4 linked regions of the Alligator mississippiensis genome follow. The protein of the gene in region 2 purifies or fractionates together with the protein of the main gene of each other region. This does not show direct contact. Links are inferred from orthologs where the notes say so. Each region holds a gene or a part of one and is shown on either strand. Other genes may lie near its edges.

Region 1 (7,005 bases), on a different chromosome or scaffold from region 2:
GGACAAGGTTCCAGTTCAGCTCTGCATCCTGGAGGGCAGGGGGGAAGTTAGTGAGAGAACAGGGGTCACCCTGACTTGGCACTACAAAGGGCTGGGGGGGGGGGGAGGAGGAGGAAGAGCAGAAGATGCAAAGGATTCAGGGAAAGATAATGGCTGGTGCAAAGGATGCTGAAAAAAGGGCCTATAGTGGGCAGAGAGGAAGGTCAAGGACTAGAGAGTGCAAAGGATGCTGGGGAGAGGACACAAGAGAGAGAAGCAGGCAACGCAAAGGATGCCTGGAAGGGGCCTATGGATTGGGGAGAAGGTAGAAGATGGGACAGCGCAAAGCATACCGGGAAGCCCCCCCTCACCTCCTTGAGGCGCTTGACAGCACAATCCGTGTGCCGCAGCCGGGCACGGTAGACACAACCAAAGCCACCTTCGCCCACCTTGTGCTGCTCTGAGAAACCGCCCGTGGCCTCCACCAACTCTGCCAGGGGCCATGCCAGGAGACGTGGGAACCCTGGGGGTGGCAGGACCTGGCGGCACAAACACATAGCCCACTCCCTTCACTGCAGCACAGCATTCTGGGGAATAGGGCAGCAAAGAACTTTCTCCCCTGTCCCAGACTCCATTTACCCAAAGGATTATGGGTAGGACCCACCCCAAAGGACTCTGGGTAATAGACCCAGAGCAGGACAGCAAAGGATTATGGTTATAACTGCTATGCCCCACCCCCACCCCCTCCCCAGAATTCTGGGTCAGGAACCCAGGGTCTGAGAGCACAAAGGATTCGGGAACAGCCCTCCTGAGCCAGAGAGCAAGGCATTCTGGGTACAGCACCCTCATCCCCACCTTTCCTGAAGAACCCAAGGGCCATCCCCCCACACCCCTAGTTAGCCCCTCCCCCTTACCTGGCTGAGAAGAGTCACAGGGTCAGGAGAGGTCACGGTGTCATGGCTGCTGGTGCTGAGGAGGCTGCGGGGTGGGGGGCCAGGGAGGGGCAACGAGAGGCAGGATGGCTCTGGGGGGCAGGGCAGGAAGTCACTGAGGGGGCAGGGGGTGACCCCCACCCTCCCCCAAACTCTGAGAGGCAGTTACCTGGAAGGGGTGGGACTGGCACGGGCAGAGCCTTTGGCGGGTCCCAGGGAAGGGTCCGAGCAGTACTGCAGGGGGCAGGGGGCACGGATGGCAGAGGCACAGATGGCAGGGGAGGGGCCAGGGAGGTGCTGTGGGGCAGGCGTGTCCATGGCTCGGGAGGGGGCTGCCCTGGGAAGAAATAATGGACCAGAGATGAGGTTCCCATAGCCCCCACAGAGACTCCCTTGCTCTACCCACAATTCCTCCTGTCAATCCAGAGCCCCCCACAGCTCCCCACCCTCTAATACTCCCCCAAATTCCCCCCTCTCCCCCAGAGACCCCCCACAGCTCTTCCTTCCCCCCCCTCCCCCCCCCACAACCAGGGTTCTGCCCACCAGGGACCCTGGGGGATATAGGCGGGGGCTGCAAGTCAGAAGTGAGCGGCACTGTAGAGCATAAGTGAGGCTGTGGATTGGGATTGAGGGCCACCAACATGCAGGGGAGCTGCAGGCTGAGCAAGGGTCCCTCTGGGGTATAAGGATGGAGATAAAGGTCAGTAATGAGGGGCACAGTGGGCTGGGTGGAGTGGGGCTCTCACAGCTGGCGATGAGGTCATGGGCCCAGTCCAACTCCAGCTCTCCCAGCAAGGCAAGCAGGTCGCCCACACGGGCATTGCGGTGGCCCCAGCTCCAGAGCACCCGCTGTGTCCGGCCCTCGCTGGTGCCCGCCAGCCGAAGCTCCACTTGGTCCCGCACCACTCTGGAAGCTGGGGGCAGGGCAGGGTGCGGGGCTTCAGGTTCCACCCCTGCTACAAGCCTCCCCCAGCAGTGCCCCCACCCACCAGTCCATTCTCAGTATAAACCAGTATAGCCACTGACTCCCCTATATCCCACCCAGTATAAACCAGCATGTCCCAGTAGTGGCCAGTGAATGCTGCCCTCCAGGCTCCTTCCATCCCAGTGGACCTCAGCTAGCTCCCAGCATGCATCAGGAGACCACAAGGCCTCCCAGCAGGCTCTAGTATGTCATGGTGACTCCCCGGTACATATCAGTATGCTCCAGTGACTGAACTCCCTGGACATCCCTGACTGGCCCAGTTTCCCCAGTGTTCCATGCCCCTATCCCAGTTTCCAACTCTCTCCCAGTTTGTTCCAGTCCCCGTCAGTTACTCCTATTCCCTATCCAGGGTGCCCTAGTCCCCGCTAGTCACTCCCAGTCTCTCCTCCAGTATGCCCCAGTCCCCACCAGTTGCTCCCAGTTGCCTTCCCAATATTTTGCAGTCCTCTGTTTCCAACAGTTGCTACTAGTAACCTCCCAGGATGCCCCCACCTCACCTACTCCCCTTCCTAGTTTGCCCCAGTGCCACCAGTCACTCCCAGTCTCCTCCCAAGTACATCCCAGTCCTTCCTGGTCCCCACCAGCTGCTCCCAGTTTGCCCCAGTCCCCAGCAGGTACTCCCAACTGCCTTCCCAGTGTGTTCCAGTCCCAGTTCTCACCACTTGCTCCCAGTCCTCTTCTCAGTATACCCCATTCCCCCCCTGCCACTTCCAGCCCCCCTCCCAGGATGTCCCAGAGCCCACCAACAGGCACTGTCAGTCTCTCTCCCAGTATGCACCAGTCTCCTACAGTCACTCCCAGTCCTCCAAGTCACTCCCAGTTTTCACCAGTCGTTCCCAGGTCCCTCCCAGGATACTCCAGTCCCCATCAGTCTCTCCCAGTATGCCTCAGTTCCTCCTACTTTGCAACAGTTACCGAAACGTTCCCAGTCCGCACGACCCAATGCGTCCATCAGGCGACAGAAGCTACACATGAGCCAGGCCGGGAGCTCATGCAAGAACCGTCCGGTGCCAGGCCCGGATCCGGCCATGCCACCCGATCCAGCCCGGTCCGCCCCAGAAAACCAATCACTTCCCCTTTAAGAGTGACCATAACGGCCCAGCAGGTGCATGCGCTCTAGCCTCCAGAGGCCCCCCCCCCACCCCCGCTTCGTGACGCCATCTTGAGTGTGGTGAATCTTAAGTCCCACCACGCCCCCACATAGCGTGGAGGGCAAAGGCAGTGCCATTCGGGGCGTGGCGGAACGAGAGAAACCCGGGCGCGACGCCAGTTTAGGAAGGGCGGAAGTTCCGCCTCTATTATAAGCGCATTGGCCTAGGGACCCCCCCCGTCGCCATCTTGAGTGTGGCGGAAAGGAAACCTCTGCCGAGAGCCATATGCAAAGTGGCAGCTTGAGGGGCGGGGCGTTATTACATAAAAGGACCTCATTGGCTGCTCTAAGGAGATGAGCGAGAGTCTTCCTCCCGCAAAGCACTCTGGGAGTGGGAGGGAGCAGTCGACAAAAAGCAAAGGGAGTCGCCTGTAGGCGTGGGCGTGGCTTGGGGTGGGAGGGGCTTGTAGACGGAGCTATGACTAGGGCAGCAGCTGGGGTAGTCTAAGTAGAGCTTGGGTTATAGATGGGTGAGGGTCTGTGATGTCATCAGGATGATGGCATCATGAGGGATGCCCCCAGTCCAGCTCCCCAGGTGATCTCATGCACTAACATCATTCCCACGTGCAGCATTATGTCATCAATACAGACACGACCCCATGGTGGCCCCTGGATCCCATTCTCCACTTCTTCGGGCTGTGGTTTCCTGCTTAGGGTTAGTACCCAGACACCCCAGTTCTATCACAGTTCTGGGGGGAAGCGGGGCCTGGTGGGCTAGAATGGGGAGCTGGGAGCTCAGGAGCTCAGGCCTGGCTTCTATGGAAGATCTAGGACAGGAGCAGGGTCTTGCAGGTTAGGAACTGTGAACCTGGACATCAGGGTTCTATCCTAGCCCTGAAGAGAAGCAGGGTCTGGGGATCTGGGAGCCAGGACACCTGGGCTCTATTTCACCTCTAGAGAGAAGTGGGGGTCTGCGGGTTACAGTGGGGAGGGGCGGGGGACCTGGATACCTGGGTTCTATCCTACCCTGGCGAAGCAGTGTGGCCTGATAGAGTAGGGAAGGGATTCACAATCAGGACCTCACTGCTGGGTGCCCGTGGCTGCCCCCTGGCTTCTCTCTGTGTCCCACAGAGGGGGGAGATCCAGGGTGTGGCAGGAGAGGCAAACTGCAGTCTCCCTTGCATCCCAGTAGCTTAGACATATTCCCACTCCTGGGGGCCCAAGGACCATGGCTTGATCCCACCAGAGAGTGAGCTGAGAGCAAATCCACCCTAGCTGTAGCTTCTCCAGCATGGTGAAGGGAGTGGATGCCCCTCAGCCCCATGGGGGGGCGGGGTCTTTTGCAATGAAGGCAAGGAAGTCATCCGTGGGTTAATTGTACATAGATTTATAGCTCGAGTCTAGCACAGAATACAGTACTTACCAACAAGAGATGCAATTATAGCACTGAAATAACCTATGCAGAGAGTTACTTGCGCTTGGAGTCTGGACCGAATTTTACATGGGGGGGGGGGGGTCAGAAATGAAGGAGGTCCAAAAATTGGGCAGGGTCCAAAATTTCTGGTGGGTAGGGGAGGGATAGAAACTCAAGGTGGCAAGGAACCAAAATGGGGAGGGAAGAAAGAAAAAGGTGACGCCTAGGCCCCAAGATAAGGGGAAATGTGGGTGACACGTTCCCCCCCACTTGTTGGAGGGGGATGCACAGCCATGTACACGCATGTGCTGAGCTGGGAGGGGGTCTGTTTCCAGTCACACATGGCTAAGGCAAATGTCTCCAGTGTCTCTCTGTCTCTCCCAGAATAAATAGGTGGGGTGGGGGGGAGCAGACACAGACAGGTACATTCGGGGGAAGGGGGGTGTCTCAGGCCTTGCTCCCCCCCCCCCCCCCGCTGGTATCTTTTTTGGGGGGGTTTTGTCGCTTTTTTTTTTACTGAAATGATACAAATTCCATCCTTTAATAAACTGCTTCAACCTCCCAGGGAATGACCCCTTCCAGCAACAGACTCCAACATGGGACTGGAGTGGATGAGCATGGATGGGGGATCCCCAGCTGCTTGCAATCTCCCCATTCCCCCTGGGGGGTGGAATCCGGATCCCCTGAGGCCTTAGCTGAGAGTGGGGGGTCTCTTCCCAAGTTGGAATTCAGTCCCTAGGGGTCACAGCAGGGCAGATGCCCCTCCTCTACACCCAGGCATGGTTCCACCCCATCCAGGCCCCCCAAAAGCCCAGCTCTCCATGATGACAGCCATGGCTCCCCAGCCATGGCCTAGGAGTCCCCCTCTATGTGTGCGTGGCAGTGGGAGGGGCCGGACAGCTGCACATGGGACCAGTGCAGAATATATATGTAGACCAGAGGAGAGGGAGCTTGTAGACCAGAAGAGAGGGAGCTAAGCCTGCTGTATACAGCTCCCATCACAGGGGCCAGCTCCGAAATGTGGGGAGGAGCCCACAGGAGCACGTGGTTGCGATGGAGGGAGGGAGCTCTGTGTGCATGATGATAACAGTCCTGGTGATATTTGGTCGAACAATGAATACCGAGGCTTGGAAGCTGGGAATGTGGTGGTTGTGGGGAGGGGTTTGATTGCATCAGTGGGACTGGGGGCCTTCCCCATTCCCCCCACCCAGTACCCCCCAGAAGTGGCCACCTGGGGCCAGTGTGTGGAAGAATGGTACTCCCCCCCCTTCCCCCAGGCTGCTATTGTTGACTGCGATGGAGCGGTAGGCAGGGCTGCCCTGCCATGTAGGTAACAGATGCCAAATAATGCCCCGTCCCCACACCCGGCATGAAGGTAATGGGTGCTGAGTAACTCCCCTCCACCCTGCTATGAAGGTAACAGGTGCCAAGTAACCCCCTAGTCATGAAGGTAACAGATGCCGGATAACTCCCCTCTGCCCTGCCATGAAGGTAATGGGTGCCAGGTAACTCCCCCTCCCCAATCTGCCATGAAGGTAAGGGGTGCTGGGCAATTCTCCTCTGCCCCACCACAAAGGTAATGGCTGCTAAGTAATCCCCCCTGTCATGAAGGTAATGGATGTCAGGTAACTCCCCTCCACCCCACCATGAAGGTAATGGGTGCCAAGTGTCTCCACTCCATCACCCTGGGTGGGAAAGGTGCTAGGCAGGAAGGAGTTAAGTCCTCAGCATTCCTTAGTTTTCTAACTAGCTCTGCCCTGAGAGGAGTGGGGGGGGACATGTCCCCTTTGATAGATGCCCCCTAAAGTGCAAAGCTTTGCCTCACAGGATGGAGCAGTTGGGGTGTGGCCGCCCTAGAGATGGACTATCTCCTCCCTTCCCTGGGCTGTCAGTCTCCCAGTACACAGTGTAAGACAGTAGCCCCCTGTGCCCAGCCACAGCTCCATGATGGGGTAGCTGGAAATGGAGTTACCCTCATAGCCCTGCCATGATGGCCCCCAATAGCCAGAGGACTCCACAGTGAGGCCTGGGATCTGACTGTATGATCCCTAACATGCAGGGAACTCTAGATTGCAGCCTATCCATGATCTGATCCCATGTGACCCCACCTGCATTCCAATATCCTCCCCTGGAACAGCTTGGCCATGATCTGACCCCACAACCCCACCTGCACCCCAATATCCAGGGAGCCCCACATTACAGCCTATGATCTGACCCATTGTGACCACCTGCACCCTAACAAAGAGAGGCCTGCCCATAATCTAACTCTATGTGACCCCATGTGTGCCCTGACATCCAGAGAACCCCACATCATGGCTTGTCCATGCCCTGACCCCGTGTGACCTCACCTGCACCCTGGTATTCAGAAAACCCCACAGCTGCACCTGTCTGTGATCTGACCCCATGTGACCCTCAATATCCAAGAAACCCCACATCACAGCCTGTCCATGATCTGACCCCTTGTGACTCCCACCTGCATCCAGATACTCAGGGAACCCCACGGCCCCATCTGCCTGTGTGTGACCCTATGTGCACCCCAATATCCAGGGAACCGCATGGCAGTCTGTGATCTGACCCCACGTACACGCCTATGTCCAGTGAACTC
Region 2 (6,858 bases):
TACAAACAACTATAATTGGAATTCTCTCCTTTGTGTTCCTTGCTCTCATCAACAAAAAATAAAGGTAGCATGACTGTAGAAGAAAAACAGGGCAAAAATATACTTGGCAGCAACTGGAATTTGCTTGATATGTATTCTCAAAAGAGGCCTTTGAGTCATGAAACAAGCCAAACCTTCCATTAATCTTACTATTATCTCATTTTCTCAATATCCCACAAACCCATGTTCTAGCTTGTGAACAAAATGAATATCACTACTGTATAATGTTCATAGGACATTATATGCAGGAAGACTCACTCCTCAGATTCAGTTAGCCTTAGAAATTAAATATAACGTAAATGGCTTTATGCAGTAAGCCAGAACTGTGGAAGGAAATGTGTTTTTGAAATATGTGTTTTCAAAAACAACAAAAGGTGTCTAGGGAGTAGCCTTACAGTTTCTGGAAAGGAGAAATATTCCAAAATAGACATTTTACTAAACAATAAATTGTGATTAATTGATAAGATTGCTACTGGCTTGGATTAATCAGAGGGAGCAGTGTTTAGGGCTTAAAATAATATAACAGGGTAATCTAAATATGCTTCTTGTAATCAGAATGGGTTGAAAAAGGCAACTATTGGCCCATTTGTTTTGTAGGGGAGGGTTGCATTTGTTTCTATTTTTGGCTAAATTTTCATCTCTTTAAATTATGTTATGAAATGCAGTTGTTATTCCAATGTCATCTGAGTGTCTTGTGCCAATATAGAAGATCAGATAAAAAACAATGGAGACATAGGTCCAAGAAAGTAAAACCATGCCATGGAACAAAGCAACAGATCTAGAGACAGAATTTGAGAACTGATCAACATGTTGGCTCTTCTGAAGAGCTAGCCATCAATCTCATGATGGGAACCAGTAGGTACTGGGCTCCTTTAAAAATCTGGCCTCAAGTATGAGTATCGAACACTTAAAACACTATTCTCTTCTGCTCTCATAGCAATGTGAAGTGGTACAGAGTAGAAAAATTAAACAGCTGTGTCAACAATCTGTACAACACTGATAAAAATTGCTATGGAAAGGAATATATATTTTTAGTGTATTTAAAAGCCTTTTGATATATTTTAAAAGAATCTGGAAATAGGTATACAGGCAGCCCTCCCTCGACTTACAATGTTTCAAGTTACAATGTTTCACACTTACAACATTTATAAATTGACACTGTTTCAACTTTCTGATGCCAGTTTTGACTTTACAACGCTTGACCTGATGTGACGCCATGACAGTGAACAAGTCGCTGTGTCACCCATCTCCCTGGAGAACATCTGTCCAAACTTCCTTGGACGCTTTCTTTAAGAAAGCAGACAAGGCTCCAGAAAAACCTGCAGGCAAGACTCCTGAAAAGACTCCAGCCAAGAACCCTTCAAAAAGTCCAACAAAGTCACCTCAGAGAAGTCCTTCCAAATCAATATGTTGCTATTTACAATATAAATACATTAATGTAGCTGTGCTACTCATCTATAATTGATCGAATACAAAATTCTGGGTTATTTTTGGTGAAAATAAGGTACCAGGCCTTGGTTCAGGAACCAATCCCCTATTTATAACATTGTTTCTTATGAGAAAATTGGTTCTGAGTTACGTTTCGACTTAAGACGCCGTTTTCAGGAACCAATTATGTTGTAAGTCTGAGAACTACCTGTATATTGAACTTGTTATGATTTTCATAAGAACGAGATTTTGTTAATAGTTGTTATCCAAAAAGAGTGGTCCATGCTTTGAGTACCTCACAATCTAAAGCCCTTTCCAAGCTAACATGGACTAATGGTTAAGACCACACTCCTGAACACCATACAGTGGTAATCACCTAAACACAACCCTCTTTTGTTATATGGACTGCAAGTGATTAATTCCAGCTGCTTTTTACAAACTCTAGAGTTGATATTAGGGGCTAGTGCAGCCAAGAAAGGGTAGATGTGGGATCACCAGCTTTTACTTTGTCTCTCCCACCCCAGAGAAAAGAAAAAAAAGCCGGTAGAGGGCCTGATATACCACTGTGTTACTCTAGGTTTATGCTGGTAAAAATCCATTGATTTCACTGGCGTTAATCTAGAATAATATGGCAGTGGTAGTTTCCTTTAAAATGTAATAATAGAATCTTCTAATGAAATCAGAAAATAAGTAATGCAATCAGCACATTAGCCCTTGTGTTAGTTATTTTGATATTGAATTCCCCACGCAGCATTTTGGGATGGGATAACATATTTGTTGTTTGATCAATAGTGACATTTAAACTGTCATCTTCAATTTCAGAGCTAACACCCCATTAGTGTGAGTGAGAACAGCCAACTTTCCCGAACTAATCTTTTAGGCTATTTGCCGACCCAGCAGAGTGATATTATCTGTAACACGTGGTTCACATTTCAAGGTTTCTTTATAATCATATGACCATTAAAGTTAAAAATATTAGAAGACAGGCAGATACTAGGACATAAGGAAGAAAATATGACTTAAAGAAAGCAATCCCTTATTGCCAGCAGATTTAAGAAGGGGGAAGAGTATGGTCACACACATCTGAGTATGCTACCTTTATATCCATAGGTAGATATATCTATCTAAGATTTAAGGAGGGAGGGGTTGAGTGTATGTATGTAGACACACATAGGAATGCACTTCCTTACATCTCTAGCTAGGGAGTTATTTCTATCTATAGATTTAACAGAGGTATGTTTATATAGACACACATACATGTACATTTCCTTACATCTATAGATAGATATTTCTATCTATAGATGTGTGTGTGCGTGTGCCTGTGTGTGCAGACATGCACATTCGAGTATATTTCCCTACATCTATAGATACATATTTCTATCAACAGATCTATAAAGGCTGTGTGTATCTGTCTGGACACGCATCTGAGTATACTTCCTTACATCTATAGATACAGCGAGAGATATTTCTAGCTACAGATCTAAGGGCTGTGTGTGTGTCTGTCTGGATGCACATCTGGGTACACTTCCTTACGTCTACAGATAGATAGATATTTCCTTCTATGTATCTAAGGGGGGGGTATTTAAGGGCGTATGTATCTAAGGGTATGTGTATGTGTTTCTATCTATAGATCAAAGGAGGGGGCGGGGGGGGGGAGGGGGGCATGTAGACACATCCCAGTACACTTACTTATATCTCAGGCTAGAGAGATACTTCTATCTATATATTTAAGGGGGGGTGCAGACATGCACAGCCAGGTATACTTCCTTACATCTACAGATAGATATTTCTATCTACAGACCTCTCAGGGTGTGTGCTTCTACCTATAGATCTAAGGGGGTGTGTGTGTGTGTTTACTTCTAGCTATAGAGCTAAGGCGGGGGGGGGGGGTTAAACACCTCCCAGTACACTTCCTTCCATCTCAGGCTAGAGAGATACTTCCTATCTATAGATTTAAGGGGGGGGGGGGGTGCAGAGACGCACATCCCAGTGCACTTCCTTACATCTACAAATAGATTTACAGATAGAAGAGTGTGTGTGTGTGTGTGTGTGCAAACACACACATCCCGATACACTTCCTTCCATCTCAGGCTATAGAGCCACGTCTATCTGTAGCCGTCGGGAGAAGGCGCGGGGAGCCGCGCACATCTGAGGGCGCTCCCTAACCTCTGCAGACAGCTGTGTCTCTCCGTAGGGCTCAAGGGGGTACGAGTGGGGGAGGGGGAGCCTAGAGCCGGCCTTGCTGTGGCGGGACCTTCCTCCCGCCTCCCTGCGGACCAGGGCCAGCGCGGGGCGGGCGGGGCATCCTCGGCGCCTGCCTCAGCTCGGGCGGCGGCGGCTCCCCCTGGCGGCCCGGCCCCGGCAGGAGGAGGAGGAGGAGGTACCAGGCGCTGCGCGGGGCTCCCGGGCCGAGCGCGGGGGAGGAGGAGGCGGCGCCGCCAGGCCATGGCCCCGCTCCGGCGGCCTTAGCGGCAGCTGCCGAGTGCCCCCCTCCCGGCTCTGAGCGGCGCCTTCCCGCCTCAGCCCCGCCGGGGCTGGCGGAGGCGGCGAGCCCCGGCCCCGCCACTCGCTCCGCCGGGGCCTCGCAGGCAACGCGAGCCGCAGGCCCCGGGCGCGGCCTAGGCCGGCGGAGCGCAGCGGGCGCCCGCCAGCGCCTCGGATGCGGCCGCCTCCGCCAGCCCCGGCCCGGCCCCGCTGAGCCCGCGCCGCCCCGGCCCGGCCCGGCCCCGGCATGTCTGCGGCCGCCTCGGCGGACATGATCGAGACCCCCCCGGTGCTCAACTTCGAGGAGATCGACTACAAGGAGATGACCGTGGAGGAGGTGCGGGCCGGGCCGGGTGCGGGGCCCGCGGGGAAGGGGCGGCCTCCAGCTTTCGCCCCTCTGGGCGAGAGGGAGCGGGTTGGGGAGAGCCTGAGGGCCGGAGCAGGCAGGTGGCAAGGTGTGCGGCCTAAATGCCCTGGTGGGGGGCTGGGGGAGAAGTGGAGTAAAGGAGGAGGACACCCCAAGTGAGACAGGCCTGTGCCAGGCCCCTGGACAGCCCTCCCGTTCCCGGGGATAGGGTGGACTTCATTAGATTCCCACAAGTTCCCCAAAAAGAGCAATTCTCAACCAGGGAGACCAATGGGCAATGCACTGAGCCCTGGCTTTCAGCCTCTTTTCACTTGTGGACCCCTAAAAAATTTCGAATGGAGGTGCAGAGCCCCGCAGTTTTAAGTGGGGGTATTCAGACACTTTTGATAGATCGTAGTGCTCATTCACCAACCTGTTAGACATAAGTCTGTAGACCGCCAGTTGTCCATGGACCACAGGTTGAAAACCGCTGTCCTATCTGTGTGTGAGAGATATGTGAGTATATGCTATATGGAGTATACAGGTTTCCTTCGCTTTATGGAGGTTCTGTATGTGTGAATTCGCTCTTACACGATGACCCTTTTTATACCAAAAATTCATTATATGCAAGGTAAATTCACTCTTATGCAATTGGTGTGGTGGAAGTCTGCAGTCAGCTGCTTTGCAGTGCATTGTGGGAGTGACGCACACCAAAATATAGTCTTTTATGTGGATCAGTGCTCTTCGCTCGTTGTCTGCGACAGGTGTCTCTGTAGTTGCCATCCCCGTTATGGTAACATTCACCACCACCCTGTGCTTGTGTGTACTGTCTGCTGTTGGTGAGTACCACAGTTGTCTTGTAAAAGTGGTAGAAATGGGTCTGAGGGTCAGTACAGTCTAGGTCTTGGAACGTATCCCTATCTGTTACATTGTATGCGTAATCAAGTTACGTGCCGTTTTCCAGGAATGCATGTACAGCATAAAGCGAAGGAAACCTGTGGTAGTGTGTACAGCATGCATACACCATACATTATGTGCATTTGGGCTGTAAATACTGATTAAAGAAAATATCCGTTTAACCTGTTGTAATTACAACAGTTACATGATTACTTGGTATGGCAACCCCCAGGCTGCTTGTGGACAGCAGTGGGGTGCGGGGGTTAGGGGGGGACTAGTACCTAGTAGCTAAGCTCCACGGACCTCAGTACACTGGCTTGCAACCTCCTTGCTGCCTGCCGCAAACAGCTCGGGCTCTTAGATAGGCAGCAGGGGCCTGTCCAGAGCCTGGGCTGCTTGTGGCAGACAGTGGGGAGGCTGCAAGCAGCTGCAATTGGGGTCCGCAGAGCGTAGCTGTAGATACTCTGTAGATACTGTATCTGTAGATACTCTGTAGAGCTGTGCGTCTCTCACTGGGGTTGTAGAGAGACAGCAGCAAGGCGCCAGACTTCCATGCGTAGACCCTGAGATGGTGCAGAGTCACTTGGAAGAACTGGATGCCTTTAAGTCGGCAAGCCCGGATGAGCTCCATCCGAGGGTGCTGAAGGCACTGGCCGACATCATTGCAGAGCCACTGGCGGGAATATTCGAACGCTCGTGGCGCACGGGCCAGGTCCCGGAGGACTGGAAAAGGGCCAACGTGGTCCCCATTTTTAAAAAGGGGAGGAAGGAGGACCTGGGCAACTATAGACCAGTCAGTCTCACCTCCATCCTTGGCAAAGTCTTTGAAAAAATTATCAAGGCTCACATTTGTGAGAGCCCGGCAGGAAAAATTATGCTGAGGGGAAACCAGCACGGGTTCATGGCAAGCAGATCGTGCCTGACCAATCTAGTCTCTTTCTATGACCAGGTTACGAGACGCCTGGACACAGGAGGAGGGGTGGATGTCGTATACTTAGACTTCAGGAAGGCCTTCGATACGGTATCCTACCCCATACTGGTGAGCAAGTTAAGAGGCTGTGACGTGGATGACTACACTGTCCGGTGGGTGGCGAATTGGCTAGAGGGTTGCACCCAGAGAGTCGTGGTGGATGGGTCGGTCTCGACCTGGAAGGGTGTGGGCAGTGGGGTCCTGCAGGGCTCTGTCCTTGGACCGATACTCTTTAATGTCTTCATCAGTGACTTGGACGAGGGAGTGAAATGTACTCTGTCCAAGTTTGCAGATGACACAAAGCTATGGGGAGATGTGGACACGCCAGAGGGCAGGGAACAGCTGCAAGCAGACCTGGACAGGTTGAACACGTGGGCAGAAAACAACAGAATGCAGTTCAACAAGGAGAAATGCAAAGTGCTGCACCTAGGGAGGAAAAATGTCCAGCACACCTACAGCCTAGGGAATGACCTGCTGGGTGGCACGGAAGTGGAAAGGGATCTTGGAGTCCTAGTGGACTCCAAGATGAACATGAGTCGGCAGTGTGACGAAGCCATCAAAAAAGCCAATGGCACTTTATCGTGCATCAGCAGATGCATGACGAATAGGTCCAAGGAGGTGATACTTCCCCTCTATCAGGCACTGGTCAGACCGCAGTTGGAGTACTGCGTGCAATTTTGGGCGCCACACTTCA
Region 3 (7,227 bases), on a different chromosome or scaffold from region 2:
TGTTAAGCACAATGTAAGAGGCCAAAAATCAGGTCCCTTATGACCATGCAACCGTAATAATTTCAGTGAAAGTACTGCCCATGACCAGAGGAGATTGATATCTTAGGCACTGAGGACCTGTCTGAACCAAGACAAGAATAGACGGGGGGCAGCAGGTTAAAGAGTGGCTGGTTTGTCCTTTCTCAACCACAGGAACACAGGATCAGAGGAAACCCTCACACTCACAGAAGCCAGTGTCCTGGTATCACCTGGCCTATTTGTAAGTCCTCTTGTGCCTATCTTGTCCTGCAGCTACAGAAGCTCTTTCTTCTACCCCCTTTTAAGTGGGGAGCGTGGCCTGTCAGGGGGTGCACCAGCGCTCTCAGGGAGTGCACATGCACCCCCATGCGCACCATATGCATCGCCACTGTCTTAACCTGAAATAGTCTGGCTTATAGAGTACGAACCTTCAAGATGTCAAATTGAAGAGGTTTCTTCTTAGCCAGAATCCAGCCTAAAACTGCAAGTGTGACTCAGGAGACCACACCAGCTGGTGTCACTGGATGTAGCTTTTACTCCTGTATCTAGATCTTTGAGACTAAGCAAAACAGTGCAGAAGAAAACAGGTGGGCTCTCCAAAGCTGAACTGCCACAAGGTCTTTGTAAGAGTGGTGCCCATGCCACTGCTTTAGTAAGGAAAGCCTTCACGGTTGGGATGTGATAATCCAAGGGATTTAACAGGACCAAAATCTCTTGGAGGTGATGAGAGCAGAAGCTCTTCTATAGAGTATAGAGAGGCCAAGATACAGTGAAGTCACTTTCTAGTTTCTATATTATTGAAACATTTCTTGGTCAGTGGCAGAAGGAAGTGACTTCCTCTCTTCTTACCATTTTCCCGGGACATTTTGCACTAAACGATTCCCTTCATCTGCCCACCACCCACTCCAAACACTCAGCTCTGAGCCCTGCTGCAACCAGCAGAACCTGCAAAGGAAAGAGGAAGCACCAACACTGCAGCATTTCCTCCAACTCCTCTGCAAGTATCAGTGGGGATGCTGAGACAGCCTGAGACAGCTTACAGCTGAGCAACCTCCCCGCGGGCTCCTATCCCCAAAAGCAGGGCAGCCTCAGGAGTACGTTATAGTGGGAGCTACAGGAGAGAAACTGCTGCAAAAAATCTAGGGAAGCCAATGGAGAAATGAGCAAACAATGAGAAGCCTGGGGATGGGCGAGACGGGGAAAATGGACAGAGAGACTAGATCAGACCTTGCAGACAAGTGGGAGGAAAGACCTGGGAAGGATGAAGGACACAGAGGGAAACTGGGGGGAAAGCAGAACACTTGTGGGGAGAGAGCCATATCAGAGGCTGCACCGGCGTGCAAATGTGAGCAGAGATGTGGCTCTGGCGTGTTAAGGGAGGTGAGAGATAAGGGAGGTATGAGAAGGCCGCATATGTGTGTCGGTGTGAGAGAAAGTGGGGGTGGCAGGAGGCTGTTTGTTGTGCACGATGGGCTGTGGGGGTGGCCCCATGAGTGCGAGCTGGAAGGAGCCTGCAGGCATGTGCCAGTGGTTATCACGGGGCAGGAGCTTCCTGAGCAGATGCTGCAAGTGAGGATGGGGATGCAGGGAAGCAACAGGAGCACGGCAGGGTGGTATTCTGGGGGGAGACACCAGCAGTGGTGCAAGGGTGCTCTGCAGAGCGGGCAGCAGCGTGGGGGAGAGATGGGGGGCAGGAAATGGGAGTGCATGTGAGAAGCCACTGAAGAGATGGGAAAGGGGAACACAAGAGAGAAAAGGAGGAAATCACAGAGGGGGAAGGGTGAACAATTATGCATGTGGGGGAGAGGTAGCTAGCCAGGACAGTGTGAGGTCAAGATTGAGGTGCACTTTATAGACTAACTAAATCAGCGATGCAGCTTAATGGAAAATGGACAAAAAGGTGGTGAGAAGCTCCTCAGAGACACACCGCGGCCAAAGGAGGCAGAGCCAAGGAAGCGGGAAGAAGCAGTACGCAGGGAGAACATGTTCAGAAAGATGCTACTGCTACCTAGGAAAAGCGTGAGCCCCCAGCAGACAACGCATGGGGAGCCCGAGCCAGTCACTGTCCTCCCCTTCCTCCTCACCCCTCGTGACATTTTGTTAAGCTCTTGCCCCTACGACTGTGGGCCTGTTTGCTCCTTCTCTGCAACCCGGGCTTCAAGTATCTGTGTCTGCAGAGTGGAACGAGACCTGTGGAGCCTGCACAGACGTCTGCGAGCAAAGACATTAACAAAGAAAAAAGAGTGAAACTGGAAGCTGCCAGGATCAGGCAGGTGCTGTCCCTGCTGCCAGTGGGGTGGTGCTGGCCTTTGGGCCGCTCTCCTTACCTTGGGTGCTCATGAGTGACCGAGCTCGCGGCTGGGCTGCAGCTGCTGCAGGGTGAAGCTTGCTAGGTCGCCTCCATGCACTCGTCCTTTCCCCTCCCCAGGAGCTCCAGCGAGGTGAGCCGTGCAAGGGAAAGGGCCAGGACTCTTTGAAGAGCCAAGGGTGGAGGGAGGAGAGGGGGGAATGGAGAGACTCAGGAGGCAAACGCACCAGTGTCGGAATGAACAAAGGGCGACACAGAAAGTAAGAAAAAGTGTGTCAGAGGCTGGGAGGGGCGAAGGAGGAAAATGCAAAGATCTGACAGGAAACCAGACTATAAATCGGCTCTTGGTTTGAAAAAAAAAAAACAACCAACCATTCTGCTCCCTAGTGATACTGGCTGCTTGCAAATGCCTCTGCACGCAGGTGAGAGCAGAGCCCAGGGACAGCACAGCAAGCAAAGAAAGGGACTTCTATCCTCAAGCCAGAAAGCACCCAGGTAGCCTCAGCAGCTGCACAGCTCCAAGTCCAAGACCAGGCAGAAGATTTACCTTGCCTGCCCGGCCTCATAGCTGAGATCCTCTGCGTCACCCAGTCCTCACAGCCTACAGCCTGCTCCCCTTCGATGCAAATGCAGAACTGCTGAATAGCAGCACGCAGGTCCTGCCCCCTTCCTAGCATCAAGCGACAGCCTTCCCTGACCACTGTGCTGCCCAGGGAGTGGGCAGGGGAAGGAAGGAGGGGGCAGGGAGAGGGAGGAGCCATCCACAGTGCTCCCTGCTCTGCAAAGAAAGTTCTCAGAGCAGCAGTTTTAGGCAGGGGAAGTTGGCATCTCCATCTTTCCCAAGCATTTCAGAGGCCTCTCCGGGTGCTAGCCAAGTTATTGACTCTTCTTACTGCTGTTTCTAAGAAAGGGAAGTTAAGTGTGGCAATATTCATCCAGGTTTTTTTATTTCATTAGGTTATTGGTTTTTTTCCAATAATGTTTTTCCAAAGAACAGTCTCTGTTGGTATCACTAGGCTGTGGAGCCTTGCCCTGCAGAACCCACAGAGGCTGAATGCGGGGCTGAGGGCTCAGGGCCAGACCTGGGCCAACCTACATGCAGGGGGTCACAGTGGACCTCCACCATCCAGCACACAACTAAGAAGCTTTTTACCGGAGACACAGACAACTTGGGGTGCAGGGGCCTTTTCCTCCCTCTCCTTCCCTTCCCTTGCTGCTGTTTGTGAGAGGCTCACACCCAGCACTGCTGCCCCAGCATCATGGGCTTGCCCTGTGCCCCTGGCTATGTCACACCTGGCCTGCTTGCCCACCATGACTTGATGTGCCAGAATGACCCTGAACTTGCCTGGATGTGATCCAGTGGTCCTCTGTGAGCTGGATGTGACTGTAGATGCGTCTTCTGTAGGACACCTTCTCCCCTACACCCCTTCCCTTTCCATTCAGGTGTTTTTGCTGTTTGTTCAGACATCGGAGGCATTTGTCACACGGGCTGCCCCCACAGTGTTAGGCTGCAGTTTGGGTCTGTCCTGCCTCGGGTTAATGTAGGAACATAAAAGAATGACAACTAAATAGATAAAATAAACTCAAAACAGCTCAGCTTGGCAGCCAGGCAGGGCACTGGTGCCTTGCCGCCCCCAGCTTCTTCCCCATTTTTGGGGTACAAGTTACTCCAGGCCTTATGTCTTCTTATTGGGCCCCTTGTGCCCCTTGGGCTGGTGACCTGCCGCAGTATTTCTTTGGTGCTCCCGGTGGGCACCGTACTCACTGCAGCCCCACGAGCCTCCTTCAGGTGAGGCGCAGCTAGCTCCTATTCAGGTGAGGCTCAGCTACTACGTGGCGCTGCACCCGGCCTGTGCCTGCTTCCTTTCCCGAGCACCAAGGAGAGCGTTCCATTCTTCAGCAGTGGGGAGAATAGCCAGACCCGTTTCCTGTCCCTCGGCTGCCATTCCCTCTTACCCCCTTCCGGCACCCTTTTGGCCCATCGCCTTGGGGCTCCAGGCTAATCAAGAGTGCACTTCTGGCTGGCACGGTGCCAACTCAGCCACATGGGCTCCATGCATCCGTGCCACCGTAGGCCGGTGAGTCAGGCAAGGGACTGTCACACTGGCCACCAGCTGTGCTAGGCCAATACTCAGCACTAGAGTCCTATCCCTACTGCCATCCTCCCACAGGCATGCCCGAACAGAGCCCCTCTGCAGCTGGTGAGCCCACATTATGCTGCCACTAGTGTGGCCTCCACAGATGCTGATGTTCTTCCATCAACACCTCAGCAAGGCCCATGGACCCAAGTGACACACAGACACTTCACTGAACTCTGCAGCTGGAGTAAGGTGGGGAAAGAGGAAAAAGGAGCCTTTGGAAGGGGAGGGTGTGTATGTGCCAGGGTGGGGATGGGGGAACAGGCATAGGAAGAGAGAGAGAGAGAGTGCGTGAGCACACGCATGTGTATGTGTATGTGGTGGGGGGAAATAAGAGATGCTACAAGAGGGGAGAATTCAAAAAGACTGGGAATGAGGAACATAGCTGGGAGAAGACAGATAGTCAAAGAGTTGGTGGGGATGGGGAAGGGTGTGGAGGGAAGTGGGACGTGGGGATTGAAAGAGAGACCACAACACAGGTGTGAGGATGGTGATGGAGTGGGAGGAAAGGAAAGGAAGGAACAGTTGTTACACTGCAGAGGAAAGCACAACAGATGGGAAATAACAGTATAAAGACAGTAGACAAGATACCTAGAGATACATCAGGGTCAACGAAGATGGAGGGAAAACAGTGAGATGGGACCATGAAAAGAACAAATGCAAGAGAAATCGAGTTTTACCATTGATCTGAGAGCTTATATCCCAAACAAACAGGTGTTTTCTAAAAAGGAAGCGACTGTGTATCTTGTACTGAGATGGCTACATTTCCTTAGCGCAGTGCTGCTGGCCAGCCCAGCCACTTGCCTCTCTCCCAGGCTCTCCCTGACCCTGACTCCCCACCTTGGAATGGGCGCAGCTGTGTCTTTTTCCTTGGTAGCTATGGAGCAGATGAATAAGTTGAGGCAGTGGAAGGGAATTCATGAAGGTTCAGACTAAAGCAGAATCCAGCTCTCCAGTTTAAAAACACGGTAATTAGTTTAATACATATAGCAAGAGTGAAAAGCCAGAAGGATGCAGGAGTTCCACTTTTCCGAGAAGCACAGAGCATGTACACACAGCCCACGTTATCCCTGTGCGCTCTTGTTTTTAATGAGGGCTGCTCACTGAGGTGCTAATTATATTATTGCAGACATCTCACAAACCTTGCCTCGTTAGCCCATGATAAAAGCCATGTGCTTAGTGGGTGGGTGTGCACTTACAGGCAGGAATGAGGAGGGGCTGAGCCGCTGAGGCTACGTCTAAAGAACAAACTTACTGAGCCAGGGTGCTGCTCTGGGCAGATTGCTCCTAATCTGGAAGCAGTGTGCCTCTGTCCTGGCAGTGCGGTAGGCAGACAAATGAGCACTTCTGAGCGACAGTGACCATTAGCCTGCCCTGTGCTAACTCGCAGTGGTGCCATGTGGACACAGCTCCGCTGTTGCTGCTGCTTAAAGATACAGCTTACCCGAAGGAGCACGGCATGGTGAGGGCACTGCTGCCAGGCATAGTAAGCTTATCAAGTTGATGCAGCCTGCGGATGCTTCTTTCTCTGAGCAGGCGGAGGCCTTTCCACATGACAACTGCACAGATGGTGTTTTGCAGCTTTGAAGGAAGTGCAGCCATCAGAAAGGGGAAAAGCCAGGAAGGAATACCCAGATACCTTTGAGAAAAAACAATGCCACAATATGGCAAAAACTGAGGCCACCAGCACTCACCTCATCACTGTTTCACACCTGTTTTTTTTTCCCTGGAGAGGAAGCTGACATGCATTTGCAGCACAGGAACAATTTGCAGCACAACTAAGGAGAGGAGCTAGGCTCTTAGCTGGCCAAAGGCCCTACAACTCTAACTTCCATTTAGAAACCATATAGGTAAGAGTTGAGACTCCCCACACACCTTCCACTCCTTTGTGAAACTGCTACTCCCTCTCCCTTGCCCCCAGAGGAAGAGGGTTAGAGATCTGGTAAGTTGAAAACCACTGGGCAGTCTCCTTCCTTCTCTGAGTTCTTGGATAATATAGGTCAATGTAAGGTTCAAGAGGCAGAGCTGAAGCTCACCCTGGACTCAAGCAGGGAATTAGACGTTAGGGCTGTGCGAAGCTTTGGGTGGTGATTCAATTCAGAGGAGATTTGGCCCAATTCAGTGGCTGAATCTCTGAATCTGAATCAAATCAGGGGACCAATTTAAAGGTCTGAATCGATTCAAAACTCTCTGAATCTTCGGGAAAGATTCGGAGAGCTTTGATGATTCAGGCAGTCCCCGGGGGCTGCAGCAGGGAGCTGGAGCTGACTCCGAGCTGGTAAGTACTAGGGACAGGGGAACGCGGGCTGAAGGGAGCGGGGAGGGGACCATGGGGGGACCTCTGATAGCCCCCCCGACTTCCGCCCACTCCCCAGCCCCCCAACCCCCGCCCATTCCCCCAGCCCCCACATGGCTGCCCCCACCCACCCCAGCTCAGGACTTTGAATTGGGACAGTGATTCGAATCACCGAATCGAACCACTGTCCCCCAAAATCGGCTGAATCCGAAGCGATTACTAGCCACTTCGCACAGACCTAGTAGACGTGATCTGTCCCTGGTTTTGTTTTGTTCCCAGTGTGCTGGTAAGCAAATGAACAGCATTTCAAAGACTACATCTTAATCAGTCTTACGGACAAATTAACCAAGTGCTGATGCTTCACTAACTTTAAAAATCCTGTCACTAAAATGCAAAATAACCTAAAATTGGCTTTCATAAAACCTGGAAACTAGGGCTGTGAGAAATTTTGCCAGGTGTTTCGTTTC
Region 4 (7,409 bases), on a different chromosome or scaffold from region 2:
CATGTGCCCTCTCCTGCCCCACCCAACCTTGCATCCTATCTCTGTAAATGAAAACAAAAATACTTTCCTCCTAGGTTCCCTCGCATTTCTACCCACTCCCCCTCCCTGCCTCACACCCACGACATCCCCTTCCCTCTTTCCTAACAACCCACCAACCCATATTTCCCTCTCTCACAGGCTGTTCCCAAAATCCCACCCCTCCTACCCTTCCCCCAAAAGAAACACATTATTTAATTTAAACAGTTATAATGAGAAATACAATTAAACCCCCTGTTCCCACTGAAGGGAGTACCAAAGCATCACAGCATTTGAGGTAGTTCCCATTCTAAATGTAATGAATACAAAAATTAAGATGAATACCTTGGTGTATTATATACATATTTTTTATGAGAATGTTTTACATATCAAAGCACAAGCAATAAGACATAATACAATATTACTTGTATATAAGTAGAAATCTATACATGCACATTCAGGAATATATTAAAAATGAAAGATGAAAAATGATTGTCTCCATAGCCATGACATTCTTCTCTTCACACCCCTACTGGGAGCTACCTTAAAGGAGTATGTCTATATTAATTCTTCTCTACCCTGGGTTATTCATACATATAGAGGGCTAGGCATGTCCGTGATTCACTCTGCCCTGCACTCTATTCCATTAATTTATCGCTGCGAGTCCATGATATCTGTTAAAGTACTATATATGTTTTTAACTTTAATAAAAAGGTGAATTAGGAGAACTATAGTATATTTGCTAAATATGCAAATACAGGCCCTGATACCTGTACCAGTAAAGAGAAGCATATTAATAAAGTGAATAAGGAAAATAAATCTTTGCGGTAGTAGGGCAACTGCAGATAAATTCGATTCTTAATCTTTTAAAATTGCAGTATACAGAACATTTCTATAGAAAATAAATCCATATTAAAAAATGAAGTCTCATGGCACTTGCCTTAGGACTGTCCCTGTGATGTGCTGGTATTTGCAAGTGGATATTTCTACAGCAAAGCTGAAAGCAGCTGGAAGGGAAAAGAAGGGAGAGTTCACACTCATGACTGCTGGGGCCCAGTTTCCAAACCACATCCGGTCTAACTCAAATGAGTTCCTTGGCAGTCACCACTTACCCAATTTCTACTGTTCTGTCTAGTGGTAAGGGTTGGGGAAAGAAGAGGGAATCTGTCAAGCAAAAGTGGCAAATTGCAAAGGATTCCATATGGACAAAGGCTTTGCCATCTGCCTTTCTGAAGGCGATGAAGACTGAGCTGTGGCACCCTATTTTGGTTCATAGATGTAGGGTCAGAAGGGACCTGAGCAGATCATCAAATCTGACCCCCTGCCCTGGGCAGGAACGAATAGTGGGCTTACATGACCCCTGGTAAATTTAAGCTCGTATGACCCCAGCTAGGTAATAATCTAGCCTCCTTTTAAAGACCCCTAAGGTAGGAGCCAGCACCACTTCCTTAGGAAGCTAGTTCCAGATCCTAGCCGCCCTGACTGTGAAGTAGTGCCTCCTGATGTCTAGCCTGAACCTGCTCCCAATCAACTTGTGGCCTTTATTCCTTGTTACTCCAGGAGGTGGTCGGGGGAACAGGGCCTCACGCATTTCCCTCTGGTCCCCCCTGGTAAGTTTATAGACAGCTACTAGATCGCCTCTCAGCCTTCATTTGTGAAGGCTGAACAGGTTCAGGTCCCATAGCCTCTCCTCATAGGGTCTGCCCTGCTGCCCCCTGATCATGCAAGTGGCCCTCCTCTGGATCCTCTCAATGCTGTCCATATCCCTCCTGAAGTGTGGCTCCCAGAACTGGACGCAGTACTCCAACTGCGGCCTGACCAATGTCGCATAGAGGGGGAGGATCACCTCTTTGGACCTGCTCATGCTGCATCTGTGGATACATGACAAGGTGAGGTTAGCCTTACTGACCGCATCCTCACATTGGTGGCCCACGTTCATTTTAGAATCGACAATGACTCCAAGATCTCTTTCTGTCACTGTGCTTTCGAGAAGGGAGTTCCCCAGCCTATAGGTATGCTGCTGGTTATTTCTGCCCAAGTGCAGTCCCCTGCACTTGTCAGTATTGAATCCCATCCTATTCACATTTGCCCACCCCTGTAACCTGTCCAGGTCCAGTTGTATCCTGTCCATCCCTTCTAGCTTGCCCACTTCACCCCAAATCTTGGTGTCATCAGCAAATTTGAACAAGGTGCTTTTCACCCCCTTGTCCAAGTCGCTAATAAAGAGATTGAACAGTGTGGGCCCGAGGAACAAGCCCTGGGGGACTCCACTGCCCACATCCCTCCAGGTCAATTGTGACTCAGCCACCACTACTCTGTGGGTGCAGCCGCTCAGCCAATTTGTGACTGTGTAGGCATCAATGCCACACTCGCCTAGCTTTTTAATGAGAATGGGGTGGGAGACAGTGTCAAAGGCCTTCCTGAAGTCCAGAAAGACTACATCCACCGCGACACCTGCGTCCAATGATTTTGTGACCTGATCATAGAAGGCAATCAGGTTGGTCTGATGGGACCTGCCCCTAATGAACCCATGCTGGTTGCCCATGAGCATCATCCTCCCTGCTGGTCCCTCTCAGATGTGCTCCTGGATAATTTTCTCAAAGAGCTTCCCCAGGATCAAAGTAAAACTAACGGGCCTGTAGTTGCCTGGGTCCTCCCACCTTTTTCTGAAAATTGGGACCACACTGGCCTTCTTCCAGTCTTCTGGCATCTGGCCAGAGCACCATGAGTGCTTGTAAAGCTGTGCCAGGGGCCCTGCGATGACCCCTGCCAATTCCCTCAGCACCCAAGGGTGGAGAGCATCTGGACCTGCTGATTTGAACACATCCAGCCCCTCTAGAAGTTCCCTAACTCAGGTCCTCCCTGACCCCAGGCCTGATGGAGTCTCTCCAGAGTCCATCCTGAATCCTGGTATGGAGGCAAAGAATTTGTTTAAAAGGTCTGCTTTTTCATCTGGTGCAACTACCAGATTGCCAAGCATATCCTGGTGTTTCCTTCTCCAGTATTTACACATGATCAAAATCTAGAATCATAGAAAAGCAGGGCTGGAAAGGACCTCTCAAGGTCATCTAATCTGCCCTTCCCTTCCCCTCCCCCAGGATCATCCCTAACCAAGCAGCCTGTACAAACCCAAATCTAATGTGCTACAGAAGGAGGCAGAACTGCACCCCCCCCCCCCCAATCTGTATCAATCTAACTATGGGCTAAAATTCCTTCCTGACCCCCAGGTTGGTGACTGGTCTGACCTTAACCAGAAGTGCAAGACCCTCTAGCCAGGCCTACTTGAAGCACAAAAAGAGCCTGGGCATGTGCCCACACAAGAACAGTTAGCCCCACCTGTTGTTAGGGGGAGCACCAGGTGTGTGCCAACTTTGTTCTGGGGGCAACTTAAAAGAATAACAGATGGGAGTGAGGGGCAAAGGTTGATAAGTACTCCAAGAGGGACACTGAGCAGAGCACATTGGCTAGCACCCACTGGAACGAGCCCAAGAAGCCAGTGGATACTGCCCAGCAAAACTCTGCCCCAAGATGGGACCAGATGAGAGGCCCTGCAGCATCTGGGGGCATGAACGCCTCGTGCCTCCTGAGGCTGGAGGGGCAGTGACCACCCACAGGCAGCAGCGCCGGTGGCAGGGCCTTTGCAGTGGCGAGCACAGACCACCTGCAGGCAGCCACGCTGATGTTGCAAGCAAGGGGGGGCTGAGCAGGGACCACCCGCAGGTGGCCGCAGCGGTGTTGGTGGCGGTGGGCAGTGCCAAGTGCTGACCCATGGTCGGTGACCGCCCCCAGATGCCACCGGCAGTGTCACTGGCAAGGGAGGGTTGTGATGAGCAGCAACCGCCCGCAGGCGCACCCAGCACTGTTGGTGGCCGCCAGACTGGGGGGGTGCATGTGCACCCCCTATGTGTCACCAGTGGGTGGGGGTCCTCTGGGCCAGGGCCTCCTTCCTAGTCAGGTAGCTGGCAGCTGGGCCAGGGCCGGAAGGAGGTTGACCAGGAGGTCCCAGGACTTGGTAGGGGCACGGCTGGGGAGGCCATCAACAAAAAGGTGCAGGGAGTCGCCTCAGCAGGTGGCTGTGGTGAAGGCGGTGAAGGGGGCACAGCCTGGCGCACCCCAGGCAGGCGTGCGGCGGGGCAGCTGTGGGGGTACCCACGAACCACCCCAGACACGCTGCTGGCGACGGCTCCGTGGAGGAGCTGCAGGCCCAGGCCCCCCGGGATGGGGCTGCGGGCTCCCCTGAGGGTGCCTGGGCACGGCCGAGCGCCTGGAGCCGGCGGTGGGACAGCCCTGTGGCTCCAGCCCCGCTCCGGGGGCCCTGGGACAGGAGCAGCCCGGACGGGGCGCGGCGGGGCCGCGGCGAGCGGAAGCCGGAAGCCGGTGCTGCCTCCCCCCCCCAGCCCCGCCTGCGCGCGGGTGCAGCCGGGCCGGGCGCGAGGATGAGCAGCGGGGATGCGCCCCCCGCCATCAGCTGTGCGCTGCCCGCCGTGTCCTCCAGCAAACTGCCCGACCTGCGCTTCCTCAGCCGCGGCGCCTACGGCACCGTGTCCGCGGCCCGCCACGCCGACTGGCGCATCCCGGTGGCCGTCAAGTGCCTGCAGGGGCCGCTGCTCGACAGGTACCGCCATCCGGGGCCGGGGGTGTGCTGCGTGCCCGGCTCGCGGGGGGCGGCAGCGCTGAGCGGTCGCGGCCTCTTCCCCGTCCCACCGCAGCAGGGCCCAGCCCGGGGCTCCCGCCCGGGCCTCGCCTTCCCCTGCTCGGCCTGCTGCTCTGCTCTGCTCCGCCGCACCCCGCATGAGGCAGCCCTGGGACACACGTAGCTTGGCCGGCCCTGCCTGCGAGGAAGGGTGACAGCCCTGGCGGTGGCCCCGTGGCCTCTTTCCATCTGAAGCTGCTCAGAGTGGTCCTTTCAGATCACTTCGCCGGGCCTGCCCCCCCGCCCCCTCCCCCCAGGTCCAGTGGTTCACGGGTGTAGGTTGTAGCCACGCTGGGGCAGGCAAGGTTGTTTGGGTCAATCAGATATCTTTTATTAGACTAACATTGTTGGAAAAGTTCATCTTGGCAAGCTTGGTTCTCCTGGAGGAGTAGGGCTGGCCGGGACCTGCAGGGGCCACCTAGTCCAACCCCCCCTGCCCTGGCTTATTATACTCTTATTCTTGCCTCCTTATATTATTTTTCTTAATTGAATTGCCAGACATTGGTTAGTTGAGTTTTAGCTGTTTTAGTTTTGGCTGCCTGGGGTACAGTTAGTGGCTCAGTATTGATATGCCCGCTTCTGTCTCTAGGTAGGTCGCAGCCTCCGGCATCTCAAGTGCTGCCCGGTCAAGTGCCTTTTAAGTCACCAGCTCAACTTCCCTTTGAGCAGAACCAGACGCTCTCTGACTGTGGCTATGAGTGGTTACAAATCCTTCGCCCTACCCCCCTTGCCCACACAGATGCTTTTGCAGGGGTAGCAGCAACCTTTGGCCTACTGAGTTTCCATTTAGGCCAATTGATGCACATAGGCTTTGGGCAAGGCTTACAAAGAAACTCTGAGCTCTCTCCTGTTGTTTTTGGGGATCACTAACCATGCATAAATAGATTGCAGGGCACAACAGAAGGGAAAACGAGTGGGGTTTGGGTTGATGGTTACTAACAAGTGCTCCAGCTGAGCAGAGCTCACTAGCCCATGCCCACTGCTCTCAAACGAGTCAGAGGAGCCGGTAGACACTGCTCAGTGAAACTGCCTGGAGACATGACTGGCTGAGGGACAGGAAGACATCCCTGGAGTCATCAGGGGTCTTGCTAACCAGAAACTCCTTCCTGGTCTGATAAATGGCTAGCAGTTTAGCTAGGGCCAGGAGGAGGTTGACCAGACGTTCTCAGGACTTGGTGAGGCCATGGGTGCAGGATGCGGAGTTTTCCTTTTGGCTTGTTTGATGTGCCAAAAAAGCTCATGGACCATAGCCCATTACGAAATGTATACGCCTCTCATTAAGAAGAGAGGCCACTGAGGACACATCAACTAAACGTCGGGGACAACAAAAAAGAAGTCAGGAACAGAAATGATGTCATAAGTTAAAAACTAGGGCTACAAAAGTGGACACCAAACAGCACACTGGCTTGGCACCCACTGCCCCCTGAAGGAGTCAAGGGAGCCTGTAGACACTAACCAGTGAAACTCCATCCAGAATTGTGAGCGGAGGAGTGCCAGGAAAGCAGCCCCACACTCGCCTGGGTTCCTCCCAGCCAGAGCCTCTTTCCTGGCCTTACAGATGGCCAGCTTGGCCAGAGCCAGGACCAGGTTGACCAGGAGGTCCTGGGACTTGGTGGGGCCATGGGTGGGGAATGCAGAGTTTTCCTTTAGGAGCCTGTACATAGTAATAGTATGTGGTGACCCAGAAGCAGCTTCTCTAAAACAAAGTGTGATTGGCTTTGCCAAAAAGCACACAGTACTTTAAAATGGTACTGAAAATGAGAGTCCTACATGCATTCTGTTTTACCTGCTTTCAGCTTTTGTATCGTTCCCATAGATTAGCAGGCAGCAACCTTTTCTGGCTGCCAGCCAGAATGACCCACCTCAGTGCGTCTTCCTGTAGGAGCACAAGGACAGCTCCCATTGCTGAGGTGCCTGCCTGCTGGATGCCACCCAAAGCTCCACATCCACAGGCAGGATCCAATAGCTCTGTGAGCCTGATCTGGCCTGTGAGCCATAGGTTGTTGATCCGTGCCCTAGGTAGAAAAGAAATAACTTGATGTTGTGTCCTCTGTTACAGCATGCTTGCTAACACTTTCCATGTTATCTGAAGAAATCAGTGTCTTTTAAGAAAATCATTGTCTTCAGATCTTCCTCTTCTCACCCTTGGCATAACAGCTTTGTGCCCTGATTGTGGCTAAGTCCCTCCTGATGGCTATAAACTCAGGCACTTTGTATGTAGTGATATTCTTTATTCAGGAGATGGTTATTCAGGCACCTTCTCTGCCTGGCTTCTTTAACAACCTCTTCAGATTTAGCGTAATGCATTTAAGCAGGATATGTCATAGAGGTGCATTGAGAACAGGATGATATTTCTTCAGTTCTCCACACTGTCTGAAAGCACATGGAAATTATTTAAAAAGTTAGGAAATGACTCGAGATAAGACAAAAGTTATCAAAGCAAGGAACTCCCAATCATGTGATATAATATGCTAAATATTAGAAACTAAGGACAAGTTATTGAGTGTTTCATCATCCAAACTCTTGCCACTTCCCTTTCACATATGTAAACATGCTTGGCTCTTACCTTTGAAAACTTACCACAGTAATGCCTGATCAGAGTTCAGTCAGAACTCATCCTTTTTTTTGCCTCACTATGGTAAATTTGCTTCTTAATGTTTCTAAATGCCATGTCATCCAAAGCAAAGGTGACTCACCCCTT

Evidence for each region.
Region 1: the proteins of MAP3K7 (region 2) and IRAK1 purify together in Homo sapiens (affinity purification with western blotting; 5 studies listed by BioGRID). This does not show direct contact. The link is inferred for Alligator mississippiensis from reciprocal best matches to the Homo sapiens genes MAP3K7 and IRAK1.
Region 3: the proteins of MAP3K7 (region 2) and CARD11 purify together in Homo sapiens (affinity purification with western blotting; 3 studies listed by BioGRID). This does not show direct contact. The link is inferred for Alligator mississippiensis from reciprocal best matches to the Homo sapiens genes MAP3K7 and CARD11.
Region 4: the proteins of MAP3K7 (region 2) and RIPK2 purify together in Homo sapiens (affinity purification with western blotting; 4 studies listed by BioGRID). This does not show direct contact. The link is inferred for Alligator mississippiensis from reciprocal best matches to the Homo sapiens genes MAP3K7 and RIPK2.

Annotation. Positions count from the first base shown.
Region 1 is NC_081831.1:28,784,309-28,791,313, reverse strand, and holds the start of IRAK1 (interleukin-1 receptor-associated kinase 1), read right to left. Parts: upstream 3,018-7,005; 5' UTR 2,927-3,017; coding exon 2,812-2,926; intron 1,826-2,811; coding exon 1,658-1,825; intron 1,249-1,657; coding exon 1,081-1,248; intron 1,004-1,080; coding exon 894-1,003; intron 519-893; coding exon 351-518; intron 29-350; coding exon 1-28.
Region 2 is NC_081824.1:77,998,313-78,005,170, reverse strand, and holds the start of MAP3K7 (mitogen-activated protein kinase kinase kinase 7), read left to right. Parts: upstream 1-3,835; 5' UTR 3,836-4,198; coding exon 4,199-4,288; intron 4,289-6,143; coding exon 6,144-6,233; intron 6,234-6,858. UniProt on the Homo sapiens protein: Serine/threonine kinase which acts as an essential component of the MAP kinase signal transduction pathway. Plays an important role in the cascades of cellular responses evoked by changes in the environment.
Region 3 is NC_081836.1:51,790,088-51,797,314, forward strand, and holds the start of CARD11 (caspase recruitment domain-containing protein 11), read right to left. Parts: upstream 3,020-7,227; 5' UTR 3,004-3,019; coding exon 2,874-3,003; intron 2,652-2,873; exon of another isoform or gene 2,359-2,651; coding exon of another isoform or gene 2,346-2,358; intron 1-2,345. UniProt on the Homo sapiens protein: Adapter protein that plays a key role in adaptive immune response by transducing the activation of NF-kappa-B downstream of T-cell receptor (TCR) and B-cell receptor (BCR) engagement.
Region 4 is NC_081826.1:47,120,881-47,128,289, reverse strand, and holds the start of RIPK2 (receptor-interacting serine/threonine-protein kinase 2), read left to right. Parts: upstream 1-4,408; 5' UTR 4,409-4,451; coding exon 4,452-4,630; intron 4,631-7,409.